Linked DNA regions of Lepisosteus oculatus. The protein of the gene in region 1 interacts with the protein of each later gene in a biochemical or structural test. Links are inferred from orthologs where the notes say so. Each region holds a gene or a part of one and is shown on either strand. Other genes may lie near its edges.

Region 1 (3,922 bases):
CGCGTTCTTTTCTGATCTGCTCTGCCGACTCGTATCCAGGGGGAACAAACTCCAGTACGAACCGAAATATTTCGAGGAGGGCCGTCTGGATTTCCTCCGACTCAAACCTTTCCAGCAGCCCGTTCACAACGAGCTCGTGGAGCTTCTCCAACACCACGTTCAGGTAAACCCGCTCGAGCTTTCGGTGCGTCTCCGGTTCGTGTACAAACACTAACCGGGTCAGCCTGGCAAACTGCTTCTCAAACAGCTTCAAGGCCGATTTGTCAGCCGTACTGAAGGAATGCAGCACCTGGAGAAAAGCCGCGAAGAAAAAATGTGCGTTTTCTTCGGGGAAACCACCGAGCTCCACAACGCGAGAGATCAGTTCCATGGCTCTCCCCTTTAATTTAGGGCTTCCATACTGCATAACAGAGCAGCTCAGCTCCCAAATAATGCTGACCTCTCTTCTAAAAAAAAAGCCATGAAGGACGTCTGCCAGAACGGTGAGCACGGTGCCTTCGAGCATTTCAGCAGAAATCACTGATGACAGCTGAAAGACTGTAGGCGTCAAATAGGTGGCGCAACCTTCTGGGATCACTGAAAATCTCTCAATAGCAAAAGGCCACATAGGAGGCTTTCTGCCGCAAGTACTTCGTGCATTTCGCTTATTCAAACAGATCAGATCCTGGAGAAGCGCTAAAAGTTCCTTTGACAACATTCCGAATATAACAGGGCATTTAACTTTAAACAGCTGCAGTAAGGAACAGATGACGCTGGCTATCTTCTGATGCAAGGTCTCACACTTAGGGGCTGCAGCAATCCTCAGAAGTCGAGTAATAATCCACTTACTGAAATCTTTAAAACAAAAAGAGAACACTGACTGAAACCACAGAAATCACCGAACTGTAGTTTCATTTAACACAAAAATAGCTGCAGCTAAACTTTACTGTCACGTGTTTTCATTTACAGACATACTGGAAGTACAGGAACTCAAATCTGGCTGTCTGAACCCTGGAATTCACAGGATGTCTTAATCACTTCTTAATTAAGTAAATGAGTGTTCAATATATCCAGAAGCAGCAAATCAAAGAAGTGCAGTTTAACCAGCACTGTTAACTGCCATTAATAAGTAAGTGACTTTATTGGGTGGAGATAGAGGGGACCAACGATGATGTCTGTGACAATACATTCCAAGGTTCATTCTTTTTGACATTAGAGTTAATATATTCATTCATCAAAACACAAAACTCACCAGTGGAACTGTTTTCCATATCCTTGAATTGGCAGGCAGGGTTTCCAAACATCAGTGGGGATGACTTTATGATGTGTTGTATGAAGTCAAGCAACATCATGCAGGCGGTCTGTGGAACATTCTTTTTTGTCAATTCTAAGGCAACTGAAAGAAGAAAGTTTGTAAGATTACTCATTAAATTGTATTGTTTCCTTCTTCTATTAATTTATTGGCTAATGATGCTGCAGGGATCTTATGTTTTGAGCACTGTAACGTGTTCCTCAGGATTTAAACTCTAATGTGCAAAAATGAGTGCAGTGCAGGAGGTTTAAAGAACTGAGCTTCAGAGCAAAGACAATGTTTGTGTGACTTGACCTCTGAATTATTGGAATAAAAGAGTTATTGTTACAATTAAACTAACAGTATCTGCTGATTACTTTAAAGATTCATTAAAGGCTTTTTTGCGATTTTACATTTTTTATACCTCAATCCGAAATAAAAGTCAACTGACAAATCTCATTATCTAATGCAGACAGGATGTATTTCTGCAACAACAATTTAGAAGAGGGTATTTTTGGGATTAGCACCTCATCTTAGGTCCTCAACATGATTTTAGACTGGAGTGACTTCGTTTGGAATTTGCATGTTCTCCACAAACCCACACTGCTTTTTGCCAGCGGCTCCAGTTTCCTCTCATCTTCCAAAGACCTGCTGCTTTGTTGTCACAGGGTACACAAGCACAGGAACGATTCAAATGCACCATTTTAGGTAGGTGCCTCTAAATTGTCCCCAAGTATGTGGACTGTACAACTATCTGGCGACCTATCCAAGAGTTAGATCCGGCTTTGCTTCAGAGACAGCTGACACTAGCCAGGAACGAGAAATATTTTCTGAAAAACTTCAATAACTATATTTTCGATTTTTAACACTTTCAGGATTTTAAAACGGAAAGCTACGTGCGTGTTGTTTAACCTAATGAGGAGGCAAACACATTTTCCACTTACCCAGATTTACGTCTGTCAATATCCTGTCAATAAACTGGCAGAGTATTTGTCTGGGTTTCTGGACAACACTGTTGTACTCCTCCGGGGGAGCGCTACAGACAAAAAGAAGCATAATTTATTAGCTAAAATACGTGGCTCGTTAAAAAGGATTGTCATATAATGCAGTGTATAAACTAAAAACCAGGTAGTTCACGAAGTTAAAGTTATTTTGTTAGACGTCAGATCTCACAGAATGAACTATATTTCCAAGATGAGTTAAGAACACTTACCTCCCAAGTTCCTGCAAAGCAGGAATCATGGCTGCCATTTCTAAGCCTTGGTCCATCTTTGTGTTTTTTTAATAATGTACATTCAAAGTGGACGTAGATATATTGTGTGCACTCTTTTGTACATTAAGTCAGCAGCATTTCATGACCACACGCATATCTCAAAACTTTCGCTCCCTCGCTGTAACGCAGCGGTACGGCATCCAGCGAGGGACAAATGTCTTCCCAGCAAGAGCAGAAGTGAACTTGAAGTAGTCGTCTGGGACACAAAGCGTGTGAGTTCCGTGTGAGCTCGCATAAGCTTAAACCTAAGACTGTGCAATTTTTGGCTTGTTTTAAGCAACTTTAAATCATGACTGGCAAGTGGAAAAATGTTAGCCTGCTAAAAAGTAACGGACTGATCTGTTTTATTTCGAAGGCACCGAGAGAGCTGTGGCATTTTGTTTTATCATTAAACGTCATACTACCACAAAATTCTTTCTTTCACCGATACCTCATTGGTATACTGTACAGTTCTTTACTAATATGATCCACAGACATGACAGATAAAAAATAACATTTTATATTTAAGAGAATACATACAAAATACTACAGTAGGTTTTATAGGCTGAATCATTTGCATACCTGTATACAGTATGAGTACAAACATTTCCAACTAAATGTAACGCTTTGCTGAAGTCGACACCCTAGCTTCTTTCATAAACTGCTGGATCAGATCCCTGACTAACCACGGACTGAATGGCCTCTTCTTATTTGTAACCTATCTTGTGTCCTTAGGTCAGTGCTGTAATTCAGTAGTCGATGAGGACGTGGAAATCAATGAATAACAGATCAGTGGGTGGTTAGTGTCACACAACGTCCTCATGTTTTGTTCCTTATGTCTCTTACGTGTCTAATATGCTTCAGGAAACATGACAAGTGGAGCAGAGAACTGACATAGACCTGTGAGTTGTGCTGATATTTAAGTGTACTGTCAGAGTCATGTATTTTTTAAAATGCAAATAACTGAGGCAAAGACCGTGTATATAACCAGTAGGAGTGGTGAATGATCATAACTTTGATGTAGAGTTCCTGGTTGTAATAAATTAACATTTCTGCACGCTTTGATAAAAAGTAGGTTGTTAGAATAGATTGCCTACACAACTGAAAGAAAAGTTTACCTTATAACGATACTGATTTTGATGACAGGATAACTACTAACCTTTGAAACCCTTTAGCATGTACTTCACATTCTGTTTAGTATTGCACTAATCAAGCAATGTGAAATGACTGAGATTGTCTACCATTTTCTCTTAATATCTTAACAGTGTCACGCCCTCTGCAGCCAGAGGGCGCTCCTTCTCTGACCTGTCCCTAGTTTTCGGTCTGCTGTCCTTCCTGTCCCTCTCTTTCCCTTGGGCTATATATTTCTGGGTCTTGCACTCTGTCCTGGCTCAGCATTG
Region 2 (3,922 bases), on another chromosome or scaffold:
GATTTTTTTTTGTTCTAATTTAACACAGTCTCTTCCACCCCCGCTAACCAAGTTAATCTCTCCTCTACCAGCAAAACTGCCCACTTACTCAGCTGGTAAACATTGTTGCGCGTCACAGCTCCGCTGCAGCCAATTGCATTGTGAGGTTGGGGGGGTGACGTCACAAAGCCCAGCTCGGCTCCTGCACGTACACAAACAAGCCCTAAGTAGCTGGACCTGGCAGGACGGGGAGACCTGTAACCGTTTTAGCAAATGAATAAAACGGAAGATCAGGGAGCAGACGTTATTCAAATGAAAGCAACAAACAACTATCGCAAATAAGCAGTGGTTAGGTCTAAACACGTAACCTTGAAAAAAAGCGTTTTCCACGGCGGATTTTTTCCCCTAGTTTTTGCTTTCAGCATAGAATAAACCTCTTCTTGACCCTTATACCCAGCCTTTCTAACTCCTTCGAATGAATACCAGAGTAATCGGAGAACATTTTAAATATATTTTTTTTTAGCAGAGGGATGTTACAGTTAAACTAATAACTTGCCCCCGTTTTTTGGAATTCACTTGTTATTTCTTTCATTGTTTTGTAGTATGTACAACAGCACTACTTTAAAAAAAATTGAGTACTATATTATTAAAGCTGCCCAAACTAGGCGTATTGATGTAGCTCCTGGTAATTATTCATGGTGATTTTAACAAAAGGTTTTCTACGAACCGAGTCTCTAAAAAAAAGGGAGAAACCACGTGGAGTTTCATGGAGAACGAAATAGAAAATAAAGCATGTATCCTTCCTAGCTTGGCATGCGAGTGACCGAGGTAAAATAATTTTGCTAAAGTGCACAAACACTGGAATACCAAAGCTACAGAAGACTACTGTTCTTTGATATTTAACATAAAGGAAACGCGTTTAATTATTCAAGAACAAATATCGAGGTCAGTTAAAACTGGAAGGAAAACATTAGGGGAACATTTAACACCTGGTCTCCCATACTGTAAGGGCAAAATGTGTGATTGCAAAGAGTTCAATAAAAACACAATAATACGCTTCGTAGCTATCCTACTATGCCCTGTTCTGTTTTGTTGAAGATAACTTCCGCTCTAACGGCGGAAACAAAATGTGTCCTATTCGCTTTCCGTAGACAGCAACTGCCTTTTTCTCCAATAGAATCGCGTCTTACTTCACAGTTATTGTTAGAACCTGCGATATGATTGGCTGTGGTACTTGAGACGTCTAGAGTGCAGAAATCAATATTGTAAAGTATGTAGAATGAGATGAGGATGTGTTAGTTCGGGTCTGCTTTTGCAGTCTGAATATGAGAATTGTATAATTGAAGTGGCACTACGCAATGGAATTGTGTGATTTAATATCAGGTTTGTTTTCAGGACGTATTCAGTTTTATTTCAGATACTTTATTTTCTGTTTCTCCCAAAAAGTTAGCGAAGTTTTGTTTGAGTTAAAAATGTGTGAGCAGTAGTTCAGTCATTCCCACTTTCTAATATAATATATATTAAATATTTAATATATAGCTTTACTTCTTTATATAATTGTCCATTTACGAATGATAAGCATTTTGTTAAACGTTAAGATAAACCCGATGTGTTCATCCTTCTTTTCTAAAGAGGATTTAAAACATCTCATTTGCTTTCGGTTTTCGGTGTAACCTCCCCAGTTTGTCACGGAAATTAATATTTTTGAATTTTAAAAACTTTTTTCTAAACATGCTTTTGCCTTAAGCGCTTTCGGTTTTATTGATATTCGAAGGTATTCGGTCCTTACCCGACCAGAAAATATGTTTTTTCTTCTTTCCGCCATTCATAAATTACGGTCCGGGTACACATACTGTATACAGTGGGCATACAGTAAACACCAGGGTTAAAAGCTCTGGTGCTGATCGGAGAAGAAGATCTTTACTTATTGTGAGGTCTGTTATTTAGTTTTAATATTTTGTTTATTCTTTTCTGATCTTCCAGAGTACTGATTGTCAGGATGTCTGACTACAATATTTATGCGAACAGGAGAAATATCAGTGTTGCTCAAGACAAATTGGGTGCTTCGGTAGCGGGGCTTTCTGCCGTCACTGGACGACGTTCACCCGGAGACCATGGCATGGAGTGCCCTCCTCTGAAGCGCCATAAGGGAGCAGGTCAGAACGTGGCCGATTGCTTCGGAGAGGACGATGACTTTACACAAGATGATCTGGATGAGATTGATACTATTGCATCCCAGGCATTTACTGAGCCTGTGGAAGCGAACAAACCTGAACAAACCACGAAAAGCAGGCCAACAGCAGAGGTCAGAACTACCTTTGCTATTGGCAACAGTTATCATGTGGGCAGCGATGGTGGGCTGAGCAAGTTGGGCACCTCTGACAGATCCACAACCAAGGAAACCTGCGGTATGCTTTTAAAATGTTGTTCATAACACATTAGAGTGCATACATGTTATCTTGTATAAAATTAATTGTAATGCAGGGGAGTGGAAACTATCAGCAGCTTTTCTAGTAGAACAAAAGTATTTGTTGTGCAATGTATACAATTGTTACATTAACTCCCCTGTTTCATTTAGTAAGTGTTAACCAGTGACTTTGCAAAGGAACCACTCCTGCTGCTCGCTCATTTCATGATTAAAAAGACTGTGGGTTTGGGATTTCCTGACAGGAAATGGAGAACAATTCAGGAGAGGCAGAGAAGCATTCTACGAGTCATTTGAAGCTCAACATGAAGAGCTTAAGAAAAAGGTGAGCTTGCACTAAATTAAATGTTTTTTGAAAAATTGGAATATGGCTTAAAGGTTCTTCTTATGTACAACTGTGACAGTATTGTCACTTTATGCTCAATTTTTTAAAAAATCTCAAATTTCAGTACTATGAAACACCATAGTTACTTCAAGTATTCTATTAGACATCGTTACCCACTCCTTGAGTTGGGATAGGGATTCTGTCTAGTGTCATGGAGAATTTTGGTCAGTTTGGCTGTTGAAGTCCATATTGAGCAGACATTTCCTACTCATTAAAAATGTCTGAGTTGAATGAACGTATGCCGGTCATGAGTTAACAATAAAGCCCGCAAGAACTATTTGGTTTTTTTGTGCATTCCCAGCTTGCTGGGTTTTCTTCAAAGTCTTTGATTGGAGCTGTAACTCACGTATCTTATGCTTTTTAGCAACGTGAAAAGCTGCAGGGGTCTTAGTTAATTAGGGATCTTGGTTAATTGCTTGGTTAATTGGTCAGCTTGAGGCTGACCTAACGGCTTGACTTTCTGACCTTGTTTACACCTGATATGGTAAGAAATTGATACTGTCCAATCAGAAATGTATGTTTGTGTCTGAAAATTTTGCTCATCTTCAAGAATAAAAGCCTGTTGCTGTCCTTACGAAAGTGAGTGAGACACAAGGTTAACCTGTTAAGTCTGTCTGTCCTCCTTTCTTTATTGGAATAAAGAAATCTCAGCTTGACTTACCAAAGTCGTGTGGTTAACTCGGAAAAGGGTCTAACGAGCGATATCTCTTTTCTTTCTCCCTCCCCTCCCTGTCAGCTGAAGGAAGCGGAGTCTCAGCTGCTGATGAAGAACGGGGAGATCCGAGTGCTGCGGGACTCTCTGCAGCACACAGAGCAAGAGCGGGACAAGCAGAGAAAAGCCCAGCTCCTCTTGGAGAAAGAAAGAGCCAACATCCAGAGTGAAAAGGAGAAGGAGCTGGCAAAGAAGGTCAGCTCTATACATTTTGCATCTGTTCTCCCCACTGAGAACTGGTATGTGGGGAGCATACTGGCGCACTATGGGTGCCATCACGTCATCCGGGTGGGGGCTGCACATTGGTGGTGATAGTGGGATTACTCATTACCTGTAAAGTGCTTTGAGTGGAGTGTCCAGAAAAACACTGTACAAGTGTAAGGAATTCTTCTTCTTCTTCTGCAATCATGTTGGTTAGAAT

Evidence for each region.
Region 2: the proteins of atr (region 1) and atrip form a complex in vitro, tested with the Homo sapiens proteins (4 studies listed by BioGRID and IntAct, with this or other methods). The link is inferred for Lepisosteus oculatus from reciprocal best matches to the Homo sapiens genes ATR and ATRIP.

The regions. Positions count from the first base shown.
Region 1 is NC_090708.1:15,723,063-15,726,984, reverse strand, and holds the start of atr (serine/threonine-protein kinase ATR), read right to left. Parts: upstream 2,664-3,922; 5' UTR 2,540-2,663; coding exon 2,484-2,539; intron 2,307-2,483; coding exon 2,215-2,306; intron 1,376-2,214; coding exon 1,232-1,375; intron 835-1,231; coding exon 1-834. UniProt on the Homo sapiens protein: Serine/threonine protein kinase which activates checkpoint signaling upon genotoxic stresses such as ionizing radiation (IR), ultraviolet light (UV), or DNA replication stalling, thereby acting as a DNA damage sensor.
Region 2 is NC_090699.1:61,370,417-61,374,338, reverse strand, and holds the start of atrip (ATR-interacting protein), read left to right. Parts: upstream 1-1,235; 5' UTR 1,236-1,362; intron 1,363-1,962; 5' UTR 1,963-1,978; coding exon 1,979-2,387; intron 2,388-2,649; coding exon 2,650-2,729; intron 2,730-3,525; coding exon 3,526-3,696; intron 3,697-3,922. UniProt on the Homo sapiens protein: Required for checkpoint signaling after DNA damage. Required for ATR expression, possibly by stabilizing the protein.